3 linked regions of the Coturnix japonica genome follow. The protein of the gene in region 1 interacts with the protein of each later gene in a pairwise test. Links are inferred from orthologs where the notes say so. Each region holds a gene or a part of one and is shown on either strand. Other genes may lie near its edges.

Region 1 (4,239 bases):
TGCCAATGAGCACAGCTGCTGTCTGGGGTCTGGGCACTGTGCTGTGAGCTCCTTGCACCCTGCTAGCACAGCAGCTCCAGCCGCGATCGAGTTATTGCAACAGACTGAAAATGCTCAGCAAAAAACTTGCAGTTTAAGGAGAAAAAACCAAAAGGGAAGGGAAGGAAATGTGGCCATACGCACACTGGAGATGAGGAACCATGGAAAGCTGGGGCCGAGGCTCTGGAGCTGAGTGCTGCTGGGGAGCTGAGTAATAGGCTCTGCAGTATTTGCTCTTGGGACATCATCCCGCATCGTTTGGACATCTTACTGTCTGTGGCATCTCCTTATTGAATGTGTTTTGTGTTTCCTTAGAAGTGCCCCCGCTGAAATTGCTGTGTTCAGTTTTTTCCTCTGGTAGCTTCACATCTTCAAGACCTACACAGTGCTGCCATAACTCCTTCCTCTCAAACTTCACTGTCCTTCGCTTACCCTGTCTCTACGAGTGGAAATTTTGGTTTTTCCTTCTCCATCTTGGCAAAGCTGATCTTGCTTTTCTCAAAAAGACAACACTTTCGGGTCTCTTTCAGCCCTATCCTAAACAGTTCCATGATGTTCCTCAAAACAATCTCTGTAGCAACACAACCTCACCCACAACTGGGCCGTACCCGGCCCCTTTCTGAACGGCGACCCTGTGGGGAGACCCTACGCCACAGCCGGGTGGCAGAGGCACCCGCGGCACTGCAGGGACCGGGCTGGGAGGCACCGAGGCCTCTGTGAGGAGCGGTCTGAGGGTGACGATGCTCCGTCTCCCCGCCACCTGCCTGCACCATTTGTGTGGCGGGCACTGGAGGCCGCGGAGCGGCGCCGAGGTTCACGGCGGTGCTGCGTGACCTACCCCGACCCGCACCTATAGAAGCGAGCAGTGCGGGTTCATCGGAGATTTGGGGGATGTCCTTCCCCCTCGGGGACCGTGGGGCGGCGGGGCGGTCCCGCTCTTCGCACCTCCCGCAAGGACAACCGCAGCGAGCGGCGGGGGCGGCGGGCGGGGAGGAGGCGGAGGAGGGGGCGGCTGCGGCGAGGGGAGGGGAAACCTCCGCGCCCGCCGCGTCCCACTCGCCGCCCGCCGCCCGCGCCGCAGCTCAGCCGTGCCCGCAGCTCCCGGCCCCGCTCGGCTCCCCCCGGGCCGGGGCAGGCGGCGGAGCCCCCGCCGCGTCCCGCCCGCAACTTTCGCCCCCGCCGATGGCTCTGGGCGGGGGCCCTGAGGGCTGCCCGCCGCCCCGCGCCCGTCCCTCATGGGGCCCTAACTTCGCCCCCGTCGCCGCCGCCGCCCCGGGGCGGGCCTGAAGCCGCGGCGGGGCCGCGGGCCCATGGCCGGCCGCGCGCCGCCCCGTCCCGCCCGCCGCGGAGCCGCCCGAGCGCCGGCGCGGGGGCGCTGAGGGAGGCGGCCCCCCGCTCGCCCCTGCCCGGGTCGCCGGCGGCGGCGGGGCCGCGGGATCCGTCCGCGCTCGCTGCCCCCGCGCAGCGCCCGAGCGCTCTCTCCTCCTCCCGCTCCCGCTCTTCCTCCTCCTCCTCGTCCTCGTCTTCGGCGGCGGCGGCGGCGGCCCGCGGGTGACATGCAGTCCCTCATCTCTCCGGTGACCAAGGCTATCCTGGTGGCTCTGTTCATCTTCGCCATCCTGCTGATCCTCTACGTGATCCTCTGGTACATCTGCCGCGATGTGGATTGCGACCACGGGATCTGAGCGGCGGCGCGGGGCCAGCGCTTAGAGGAGCGGCCGGAATCACCCCCGCGGGGCCGGGAGGGAGAGGAGAAGGGAGAGGAGGCGACCGCCGAGAGCGGCTGCACCGCCGCACCGCCCCGCGCCTGACCTTCAGAGACCAGGGTGACCCGGTGAGTGCCCGCCGCCCGGCAGCGCGATCACAGCGGATCGGGACCCGTCCCGGCGGCGCGGGGTCGCGTTGCGGTGCCGGACGTGTCGAGCGGAGCGGGGCGGGCGGTGCGGCCCCGCATTGGTATGCAAAGGTGAGCGCGGGGCGGGGAAGGCGGCGCGGGGACGGTGCGGGGCAACGCGGGGACGGAGGGGAAGGAAGGGGATGTCGGTGAGCGGCGGCCGCCTGGGGGAGGCGGGCGGAGAGGACGAGTTCCACCTGCCTTCCCCGCGGCACGTGTGCGGGGAGCTCCGCCGGGCTGTGCGGGGAGCCCGGCGCTGTGCTGGCCGTGCGGTGCCCGGGGACTGCGGGAGCGGGGCTGGGTGGGTGAGCGCCTACGTGCCGCTGAGCTGGGACGGCCCGGAGCCGCCGCCGCCCGGCTGTGCGCCCACCTGAAGGCGTTTGCGGCTCGCTGTTTTCCCGCTGTTACCGTCAGGCTGCGTTTGCCGCGGTGTGCTGAGGCAGAGAGACATGACCGCTTTGCGCTTAAAGCGAACCTGCTGATGGCAGGATGGTCCTGAGCGCTCGGTGCCGATGCTCCCGCCCTTGGAAAGCGGCTGTCGGGAGCGCAGAGAACTCCGTCCGCACGCACAACCCTGCGGGGATGCGTTCCGGTTCCATTGATGTGTGTGCGCAGCAGGAACGGGAGCAAATCGCGGTTGGTTTCGAAGGGGAGACCTAGGGAAGTGTGAGGTGCGACAGCGCGCTTTGAGATGGTTTGACATTGAGCGGCTGTAGCTGAGCGCTCCGCTCCGCAACGGGGGCTGTGCCGGGCTGGGAGCTGCTGGGAAGCGGGGCTGCCATCCCGCTGGGCTTCTGCTCAGTCCGTCTGGGACCCGGCATTGCTGCCGTGTGACTGTGGCAGCGGTGACAGCGTCATTCCCTCACCCTGCACCTCCAGCAGCAGTGCCGTTGTGTGCAGCTCCCTGTGTGCCCCAAAATGCCAGAGCAGCAGGTGATGGAGGGAAGGGAGCGGGCAGCAGAATGGGCATCGCTTCCCTTTTCTGTATGCATTAGACTATGTGAAAATAGAGCAGCCCAGCCGTCCTCTATTTTGCTGTTTTTGCAGCCTCGCCAATGAGTAAACTTGTTTGCACCTGAGTTGCAAAAAGCTCTTCACACCCCGACACGCCAGGTGGTGTCACATGCTGCCATCCCCAGCAGCAGAGCGCTCTGTGAGCACGTCCCTGGCCAGGGGAGCACAGCAGCATCATGACAAGGGGCTTCACCCATCACTGTCAATTATTGGAAAGCAGCTTTGGAGATGCTGCCTACAGAACTGGGTGGGACGTGGCAAGTGAAAGCGGTGTTCAAGAAACTTTGAATCTCGATAGATATATGTGTGTGTGATGAAATGTTGTTGGTGCTGATACAACCAAACCGATTTTATAGTCCATGTCGTAACTAACACTAAACAGCTCAATGTCTGCAGAGATGTGAAATGGTCCCTCGGTTATTATCCAACCCTTGGTGTTTCCAGCTGGCTCATTATTATTTTAAGCATAGTCTCTAGGAGATGCGATGTAGAAAATAATTCCTTTAACAGCTTTTGTTCTAAGTAAGGCAAACATATATGTGCTGATATATAAACATGTGTACATTGTTTTATGTAAACACTGAAGGGTATTTTTTTTTCCAGCTTAGCACAACAGAAAAATGAGCAAAGCAATAGTGAGCGGTGGTGCATTTGTTTTGTAGTTGAAGTCACAGATTCACCAGCTGCGGGTGGGTGTTGTGTACGTGCACTGTTATGTATTAACATAACATAACATAACCCTGTAAATGCAAAACCCCCCTTCCCAGTGCTGTGACACTTGGCGTAATGGGGTGAGATCCAGGTCTTGTTGGGCTCGGTTGTAGAAGACTGAAGTTGGTTTCAGTGGAGCCAGAAAAGCACTGATGGATTTGCACGTGTGGTTGAAGCTGCAGGAAGCAGCTGAAGTTGACAGAACTGTTAAAGCAGTAATCAAAGGTGGGTCAGCTACAACGGGGCACCTAAAAATGCTATTTTGGTACTTATTTCCTTGCTCAAAAGTTGCTGTGAGTGGTACCTCCTCTTCAAGGCAAGGACAGCTTGTTATCACTGTCCTACCTGGGCCGTGAGAAATCATTACGTTGCAAAGATCAGCAATGCAGCGGGCTGAGCGAGTGTTACTGTTCCCTAAGCAGCGTAAAAGGCCGTGCAGACGCTGCATGAAGGATGTTTAAAAGCTTTGCCTCTTTGCGTGAAAAATGCTGTGACTGAGTTACCACTGCTTCATTCTCAGAAGCGCGGCGAATGTTACATGTAAATCCTTACAGTGAGGCAGCGTGCTGCAGTGTGGTCCC
Region 2 (3,642 bases), on another chromosome or scaffold:
AGCTGCCCTTCGTCTGCGCTCAGTGGCAATACCTGGCAGGTGTCAGCTGGGATGAGAAGGTTCCTGCCTTGTTTCTCTTCATGGAGAGATGAGAAATCAGAGCAGAAATGTCACAGCCCTATTGCTATGCCAACGGTTAGTTTTTCCTTTTCATTAGACCTATCCTGTAAGATGACAGGTTGCATGAGATGGGTTTAGATGCAATCTCAGTTCTAAAACCTTTCTCCCAACCCTTTGTTAAAATAATGCAAAGCTGCTGTCAGCACAGCTGTGTGCAGACCCTACAATTTCCATGAGATATGTGAGAGCTAAGCTACTATTCAAGTAAAGCCAGAGTCAGAGTTGGCTTTGTGGTGGTGGTGGTGGTGTGTTTTTTTTCCTTACTTTAACCCTTAGCAATTCCTGGCATTGAGGTACATTTATTTAAAGCATACTTTTTAACACTTTTATAGAAGCCATGCATCAGTTGCTTATAGTCAGACTAGCTAGCATGCATTTATTGTGGTTTCTGACAGAACTCTTAGGTTTTCTTGCAATGCAAATGAAAATTTAAACTGGCAGTCTTCTCACTGCAGGCCCCTTTCAACTCTGTATGAAATTGAGATGCTTATCACTCCAGGCTTTAGCTCTAGCAAGCCTTGCCGTACTGCACTAAAAAGTTGAGAGATCAATAGAAGAACCTGGCTGTGGTTCTCCAAACCATTTTTTGCTTTCCTTGTGGGTTTCATTTCAGTATTCAGCAGTTATGAGATTGATTTTGGTGGCAGCAAAAACAGCAGGGGCAGGTTGGGAAGGTAAAAAGTTATCCAAGCAAGGGTGCAATTAGGAAGGAAGAGAGAGAGGAAAAGACTCAAAGGTAAAAACCAGAGCATCCTTTTTAAAGTGTGAGGTCTTACAGTCAGCTCAGCTAAGGAAATCATTGCTGGTCTTGTGCTTCAGCTTCTAGGCGAGGATCACAAGGGCAAGGCTCTAAGGAAGTCACGGTAGTTTATCTGGTCACCTCCATAGGTGCACAGGTCAATCAGCTGGGGGGAAAAAAGAAGCAACGTCAGAAAGAGTTGAAGGAACCTGCAAACATGTTTTTATAGGGAAACGTGCCCACAGGTATTCTCTACGTGACAGAGCAGAGGAGCAGACTGGCTCCATAGTACTGAATCACAGGTAACTTTGAATGCCTATAGATGACACCAACCTATGCAAGGACAAGAGTTAAAGTGTTAGGGTTAGGGTCTGCCCTCTAAGTGTCACCACAGTGACAACAGAGCCACAAAAAACTGGTGGCCAAAGACTGGCAAAGGCCACAGCACATCTTTCAGAAACCTCACACAAGTCCCTGACCAAAGCAGGATGGAGGCCCCGCATCTCAACAGGCACTGTTTGGTGGCGTCTCTTCGGTATGTGCAAATGGCATCAAGTGGAGACACAGATAATTGAGCTCAGTGACAGCCCTGCTAATGAACCAGTTCTGGTATCCATGCCTCACCCTGCATTGCGTTACAGAGCTATAGCCTTCGTATGCTTAAGGGGAAGAAAGAAGGCTTTTGTTTCCTTAATTGCATAACTAATCTCCTTCTGACACCCAGGGAGATGGAAAAGGTCTAATATCAGAGCTCCTTGAAAGGATTCTTCTTCCCCTTGTCGCCTGGAGACAGATTTACTTGGTTTGCTCGTGAGTGACTGACAGCTGTGCTCCTCTCCAGGCCACACAGTAGTTAACCATCTGCTGTATGTTTCATTTACAGTGCTGTCATGCTCGTATGGGCTCTGAGCACGTTCTTATTAAGATTTCAAGAGAGATGCGTTTAGTGCTAAGGTCATAGATGGAGGCTCTGCTTCAATTGGGTTAACCTGATGGCCATAGAGGGCCTGAAATATGGCAGCAGAGGAAGCTATGTTGCCTTGTGAGCTACAGACTTGCTGAACACAAATGCTATAACCTGCAGAAAGGTGGATCGTAGGCTGACTTCCCACAGCATGATCAGACTGCCAGATAAACGTGGAACGAGTTTGTAATGGTTATGATTACTTTTTTCTTTGTAAAACACTTAGTTCTCAACTCTTCAATTCAGCTGCTGTTAAATTCACAGTGTGTCTAGGCTTTCATAAGGACGATCCTCTAAGCATCTCAGTGTCATCTCTACTCATGCCCAGGTGTGCCTAAGACACAACAGACACTCAGTAGCTCCACAGGAGCCTATGCCTCATCTCCATGATTTACAACCCCCTCTTCTGCTCATCTCTAAGTCCTGACCAAGCAGCCACTTAGAATTTTATAATATGCTGGGGTCAACACGCATTACATAAAGGACAGGAATTGTTACTTCCTCCTTTAAGAGAAAGGTTCGGTCCAACAGCACAGAAGCCTTTCTGAACTGGGATTCTTTCACCCTTTTCGTGGAGCTGTTCCCCTTTGTAGGACAGAATAGCTGTTGATTGAGCTTGGTTTGGGTTAGTTTGTAAAAGAGATCTTTCAGAACACCTATGGGGGGAGTGAATTTTAATATGCACAGCACCCCTTCCTTCTGACCTTGTTAACCAGAGCGGCACTGGTTGGCACCTTGAGGCTGTCACAAATGGATAAAAATTTGGCTTTGTTGAGGAAACCAGACTGATCCTTATCACAACGAAGTAATGCCTCCCGAATGCTGCTGAAGTTCAAGTAGTTATGGAGCTTCAGCTCGTCCTGAACCCGTTCAATTAGTTCATCCAGTTCCTGTATGCTGGTTCCTGGAGCAGGAACATTACTGTAGAAGGGAAGAGAAAATAGAATTTAATGTAGAAGTTACTTCTTACAGTCCTACTGTGATGCTTGTGTGGCTGTCTGGGCTGTATTTCTGAATACACAGCAGGCTTCTGGGGTGTTTGTTTTTTATGGCAAGCTCATCTCAGATTGAACTTGCAGGTGGAGCTAAGTCCTGATATTGGACATTAGGGAAATTGCTTTCTGTCTGCATGACATTTGCCTTGTGCACCAAATACTTTGGGCCAATGAGGGTTTGCTTGTGTGTTTCATATGGTCCCAGGAACTGCATGCAGCTCAAGTTTCAACCAGAGCCTCTGAATTTCCACAAGCTGACTCTAAAGGGCATCCTGTGGTTACAGGGCTGTTACTGGGTGGCCTAAAACGGGTCCAGACAGACAGCTAAAACGGGGGATGATGTCCAGGCTCTGGCAGGCTGAGAGCCAGAGCAAATGTGAAAACAAACCCACCATCCTTTCTCTGAGTCTGCAACCAAATGAAGACTCATGAAGATACTGTTAGCAGCACCTATCACAGTTTACTGCTCCCTTTTGGGAAAAGATGACTGCATTCATTCACCTCTAGTTGTCTCTGCCACTGAGCCAGAGCTGGCCCACAAGGTTTTGGGGTCAGCGATACCCATGACATCGTACACTCTTGATCCCCTGCTATACCTGTTCAGACACATCTTTGGAGCTGAATAATCAGCTGAGCAGCCACTAGACAGCAAACTGGAGCCCATGAGAGCTGCTGGAAATGCCCTTAGTTGTCAGCCCTGAGTCTCACTTAGCTCCATATGCCATCCTTGGAAGCCTACCTTTTGGCAGTCTCCTCCACCACCTGCCGTGAGCGAAAATGATCCCTCATGGACTGTAGTGTTGATGCAGGAAAACTCTCTGCGT
Region 3 (4,092 bases), on another chromosome or scaffold:
AAAGCACCCGGCGATGAAGCCCACCCCAAACCCCATGGCACAGATTGGGGTTTGAGGGAAGAGACGCTGCCGCTCGACCCTTTTTTCTCCCCACATTGTGGTTGTCCCTCTTTTTAGTACCAAAAAGTGGAAAACTGAGGGCTCGGTGCCACGTGTGGCCCCATAGAAATTGGGAGCTCAGGTGCCAGAGGGGTCGAACCTGGACCCAAGAGTTTGCAGTGCACGGAGGTGCCGGTGCCTTCCCAGTGCTGTGGCTGCTGAAACTTCCCAGGGAAGGCCCGGGACGGGAGCCCTGTGGGCAGCACCTCCATTTCCAGGCGCTGCTCCTTAAGACCAGTTAAGGGAAGGGGATGGAGCGGGGTGATGCGGTGAAAGACACAAACGAAACGGGAGGGGGAAAAAAAAACAAACAAGACGAAACGACGGACCAATAAACGGGGCAATGGCGAAGGAGAGCGGCGGGTGCCCGGTCAGATGTCCATCTCGAACTGCGCGTCGTCCCCTGCAAGAGACACCGAGAGGAGCACGTGTGCATCGCACGGCTCGGGGACCCGGGAGGGGCCGCCCGCTTACCGGCCGCTGGCTTGCCGTCTTGATTGCTGGGGCTGCTGGGCTCCACCTTGGGCTCGTCGCCGGCCCCGGGGCTGGTAACACCGGGGATGTCGGGCAGTTGGCACGGCGGGGTCTGCGCCATGGGCGAGTTACGGCGCTCCAGCAGGAACTTGCGGTCGTAGATGATGCGGGTGCCTGCGGAGGGAGGGAGGGCCGGGGCGGGGGGACGCGTCCGTGTCACCCGGGCGCTCTTCTTATCCCGCGGGGTGCCGCCCTTACGGACACCCGCAGACCCCGACCCCCCGCCCGCAGCCTCACCCGCTCCGTGCGGCACGGCCTGGCCTTCCTGCGGGGCCCAGCCGCGGGGAGCGCCGCAGCTCGGGGCGTAGGGCTTCACACGCTCTTACCTCCCGGCGTGGTGGAGAACAGCGTGCCGCCGGGCGTGCTGCAGCAGCCGGGCGGCAGCGAAGCGGCGTCGCCGTGCGGCGCGGGGCGGGCGGGGATGGCGCGGCTCTGGCTGTGCTGGCGGCCGCCCGCCGACGCCATGGCCCCGCGCTATTGTCCCCGCGGGGCGGGGCCGCCACATCCCCGCCCGCCGCCACACGTGGTCCGCAGGGGAGGAGGGCGCCCGGCTCCGGAACGGGGAACCGGGTTCGGCTCCCGCCGCGTGGCTCGGTCCGCGCGGTTCGATCTCGGACGGGAGGTGTCCGGAGAGCCCGAGCCCACCCGGCCGCCCTACGCGAAGCCCCGCTCCCGCCGAGCCCGCAGAGCGCGCCCCCAGCCCCCACCCCCGGCCGCCCCGTTGGAGCACATGTCCCAGCGCTTTATTTTTAGCAGCGGGGAACGCCGCCTCCGCCGCGCCCGCAGCGTCCCCCCCCGGCCGCCCCCATGCAGAGAAGGATGGGCGAGGCGGTGGCCCGCGTGGCCAGGAGGGTGAACGAGACGGTGGAGAGCCAAAGCGACACGCTGGGTAAGGACGCGGCCCCGGCGGGGTGCCGAGCTGCTCCGTCCCCGCACCACGTCGGGGTGCGGCGGGGCCCGTCCGTGCAGGAGGGCCGCGTGTTTGGCAGCCTGGGGCCGTGCAGCTGCCCCCGCCGCTCAGCCGGCTGTCCCCGCAGACCTGGCCGACTGCAAGCTCGTGTCTTTCCCCGCCGGCATCTACAAGGCGGTGCGCAGCGTCACGCAGGGCATCCACCGCATCTCGCTGGCTAACAACGAGCTGAAGGCTCTCGGCGCACGCTTCGCCACCACCTTCAGCCAGCTGCGAGGTAAGGCCGGCCTGATGTCACAGGAACACTGAGGTTGGAAAAGCCCTCTGCTCACCCGGCCCATTCCCACCATCCTACCGCCCGTGTGCTTCAATGCCACATCCCACGGCTCTGGATCACAGTTGGTGGGGGGCTGCCGGCTCACGACATGGGAGCTGGAGCGCAATGATCTTTAAGGTCCCTTCCAAGCCAAACCATTCTGTGATTTAGTGACACTCTCCAATAGCTCAGCATCTTTTGTCTAGAGAGGAGACAGCTAGTCAGCACAACACCAGCCTAGAGCACATCCATGTCACATACAGATCCTCGCAGCAGCCCTGGCTCCCTGGAGGAGTCCTCCACTGGGAGCTTTGCTGCACAGAATGGAGGGTCAGCTTTGTTCCTCTTCCAGAACTCAACCTGGAGGGCAACCTCCTGCACCGCCTGCCCCAGGAGCTGGGCTCTCTGCTGCACCTGCGCACCATCAACCTGGCCCACAACAAGTTCCGGCACTTCCCTGAGCCCCTGGCGGCTGCCCCTGCACTGGAGAGCATCAACCTGGAAGGGAATGAGATTGCAGGTGAGGGGGGGAGGGGGCTGGGGAGGAAAACTGGTGCTTGTGACCGTATCCCTTCTCACCACCCCTCCAGGCTCCTCCACTTCATGGCTCATGGCTGTATGGTCTGGGACCACAATGGAGTCCACTGGGTTACTCTAGAGCCTCAAAGGCTGAGCTTTCTGTATGATTTATGAGCTTTTATTTACATTTACCTCTTCTTCCCTGTGCACAGCAGCAAAGGAGAGTTGAGGAGAACCCATTAGCATGAGCTTAGCCAGCACACATTGATGGCCATGCAGGCTTTGAACCCTTTGCTTGCCGCTGTGGCTGGTAGAAGACCAGCATCATCTCTGTGTCTTTGGAGATGATGCAGAAGCATCTGAAAGCTCACCCTCATGCTGTTATCTAGCAGCCTGCTCACTTCCAGCCAGCATACCATGTCTGAGTGGTGTGGGGATGAAGGTGGGCTGGTTTGTCTGCCTTTTATGACTCAGGACCCAGGTTTCGCCACTCAGTTCCATAACAAACTGAGGACCCTGCTCTGGATAAAAGCATGGCAGTCTACAGAAGGTGGATGGGGGTTGATTTGCAGCACCAGGTTTTGATGCTGCCATCCCAACCACACGTGGTTCCTGGTTCTGCCCGTTCCCTTCTGCTGCACTGGAGACAAAGCTGCTCTCAGGGCCAAGCCAGGTTCAAGATATCTGCTTCAGGGATCTCAGTCTTCTGGGGGATGCTGAGCCACAGCGGGTGATGTTCTCTAGGGAAATGGGAGGATGAGCACATCGATTAGTGCCTGCCTGCAGCCCTGGGCTCCGGAAGAAGCCCTTCAGTGCTGCCAGCCATCCCTTTCATCTCAAGGAGCTCTTAACCTGCAGAGTAGTGATGCATATATTAACGTCAGGGCTCTTAACCCTTTCCCTGCTCCTTGCAGTGATATCACAGCATTATCTTTCATGCTTAAGGCTGATGGCACCACACAGCTGCACACTCCCTGGTTGGAACACCATTGGTTTCCTCCGATGCCTGCTGCTTCCCCAGCAGCCTTCCATCCCAGCTAGCTGGATTTTTTTTAACCATTATTATTACATTCTAAACAGAGGAAAATCACTGCTGGTTAAATTATGAAAGTGGCTTCTTGCTTTCTTTCTTGCTGTGTTTTAATGCCTGTTTTCTCTTTTCCACCCGTTCTGCTTGGGAAAGCAGGACAAGGAGGGGGAGAAGCTGGCAGCAGGGTGCAGGCGGCTGTAAGCATGGGCGCTGCTGCTGTTCCTTGCTGCCTATGCAAGCTGCCATGAGCAGCACTGAGCTTTGCAGCTGCATTTAACCTGTTCTATTTTTGTTTTGTTTGTTTGCTTGTTTAAAATAAAACCATCCCTCCCCAAATCCTGTTCCCTTTGCTCCCCCTTGCAGAGGTGCCAACAGAGGCTCTGGCCTCCATGTCCTCGCTGCGGAGCCTCAACCTACGTGCCAACCCTGTGTGCCCTGCTGTACGCCTGCTCGTCCGGCCCCTGGTCCCCTTCGAGCTGCTGCTGTCACCTGAGGGCAATGTCCCCACAGCCTGACCTGTCCCTGCTGCCCGGCACCTGCAGGAGCGCACACTGGCCCTGGAGCTCCCCATGGCTTCCAGCTGCTGGCACGATGTGCCCCAATACCTGATTAAATGTGTTATGTGCACTGTGTTCCCTGCATTGATGGATTATTTGTTGCCAGCATTAGGCTGGAAGGAGCTTG

Evidence for each region.
Region 2: the proteins of ZBED1 (region 1) and EFHC1 interact in binary tests that used the Homo sapiens proteins (3 or more experiments, as listed by UniProt). The two-hybrid records come from large-scale screens. The link is inferred for Coturnix japonica from reciprocal best matches to the Homo sapiens genes ZBED1 and EFHC1.
Region 3: the proteins of ZBED1 (region 1) and LRRC20 interact in binary tests that used the Homo sapiens proteins (3 or more experiments, as listed by UniProt). The two-hybrid records come from large-scale screens. The link is inferred for Coturnix japonica from reciprocal best matches to the Homo sapiens genes ZBED1 and LRRC20.

Annotation. Positions count from the first base shown.
Region 1 is NC_029516.1:115,859,936-115,864,174, forward strand, and holds the start of ZBED1 (zinc finger BED domain-containing protein 1), read left to right. Parts: upstream 1-1,405; 5' UTR 1,406-1,873; intron 1,874-1,923; exon of another isoform or gene 1,924-2,005; intron 2,006-4,239.
Region 2 is NC_029518.1:98,059,002-98,062,643, forward strand, and holds the end of EFHC1 (EF-hand domain-containing protein 1), read right to left. Parts: coding exon 3,558-3,642; intron 2,745-3,557; coding exon 2,528-2,744; intron 1,026-2,527; coding exon 954-1,025; 3' UTR 400-953; downstream 1-399. UniProt on the Homo sapiens protein: Microtubule inner protein (MIP) part of the dynein-decorated doublet microtubules (DMTs) in cilia axoneme, which is required for motile cilia beating.
Region 3 is NC_029521.1:9,515,005-9,519,096, forward strand, and holds LRRC20 (leucine-rich repeat-containing protein 20), read left to right. Parts: upstream 1-1,211; 5' UTR 1,212-1,440; coding exon 1,441-1,522; intron 1,523-1,670; coding exon 1,671-1,820; intron 1,821-2,211; coding exon 2,212-2,379; intron 2,380-3,771; coding exon 3,772-3,923; 3' UTR 3,924-4,040; downstream 4,041-4,092. Other genes in the region: EIF4EBP2 (eukaryotic translation initiation factor 4E-binding protein 2), read right to left, coding at 471-502, 574-747, 960-1,098.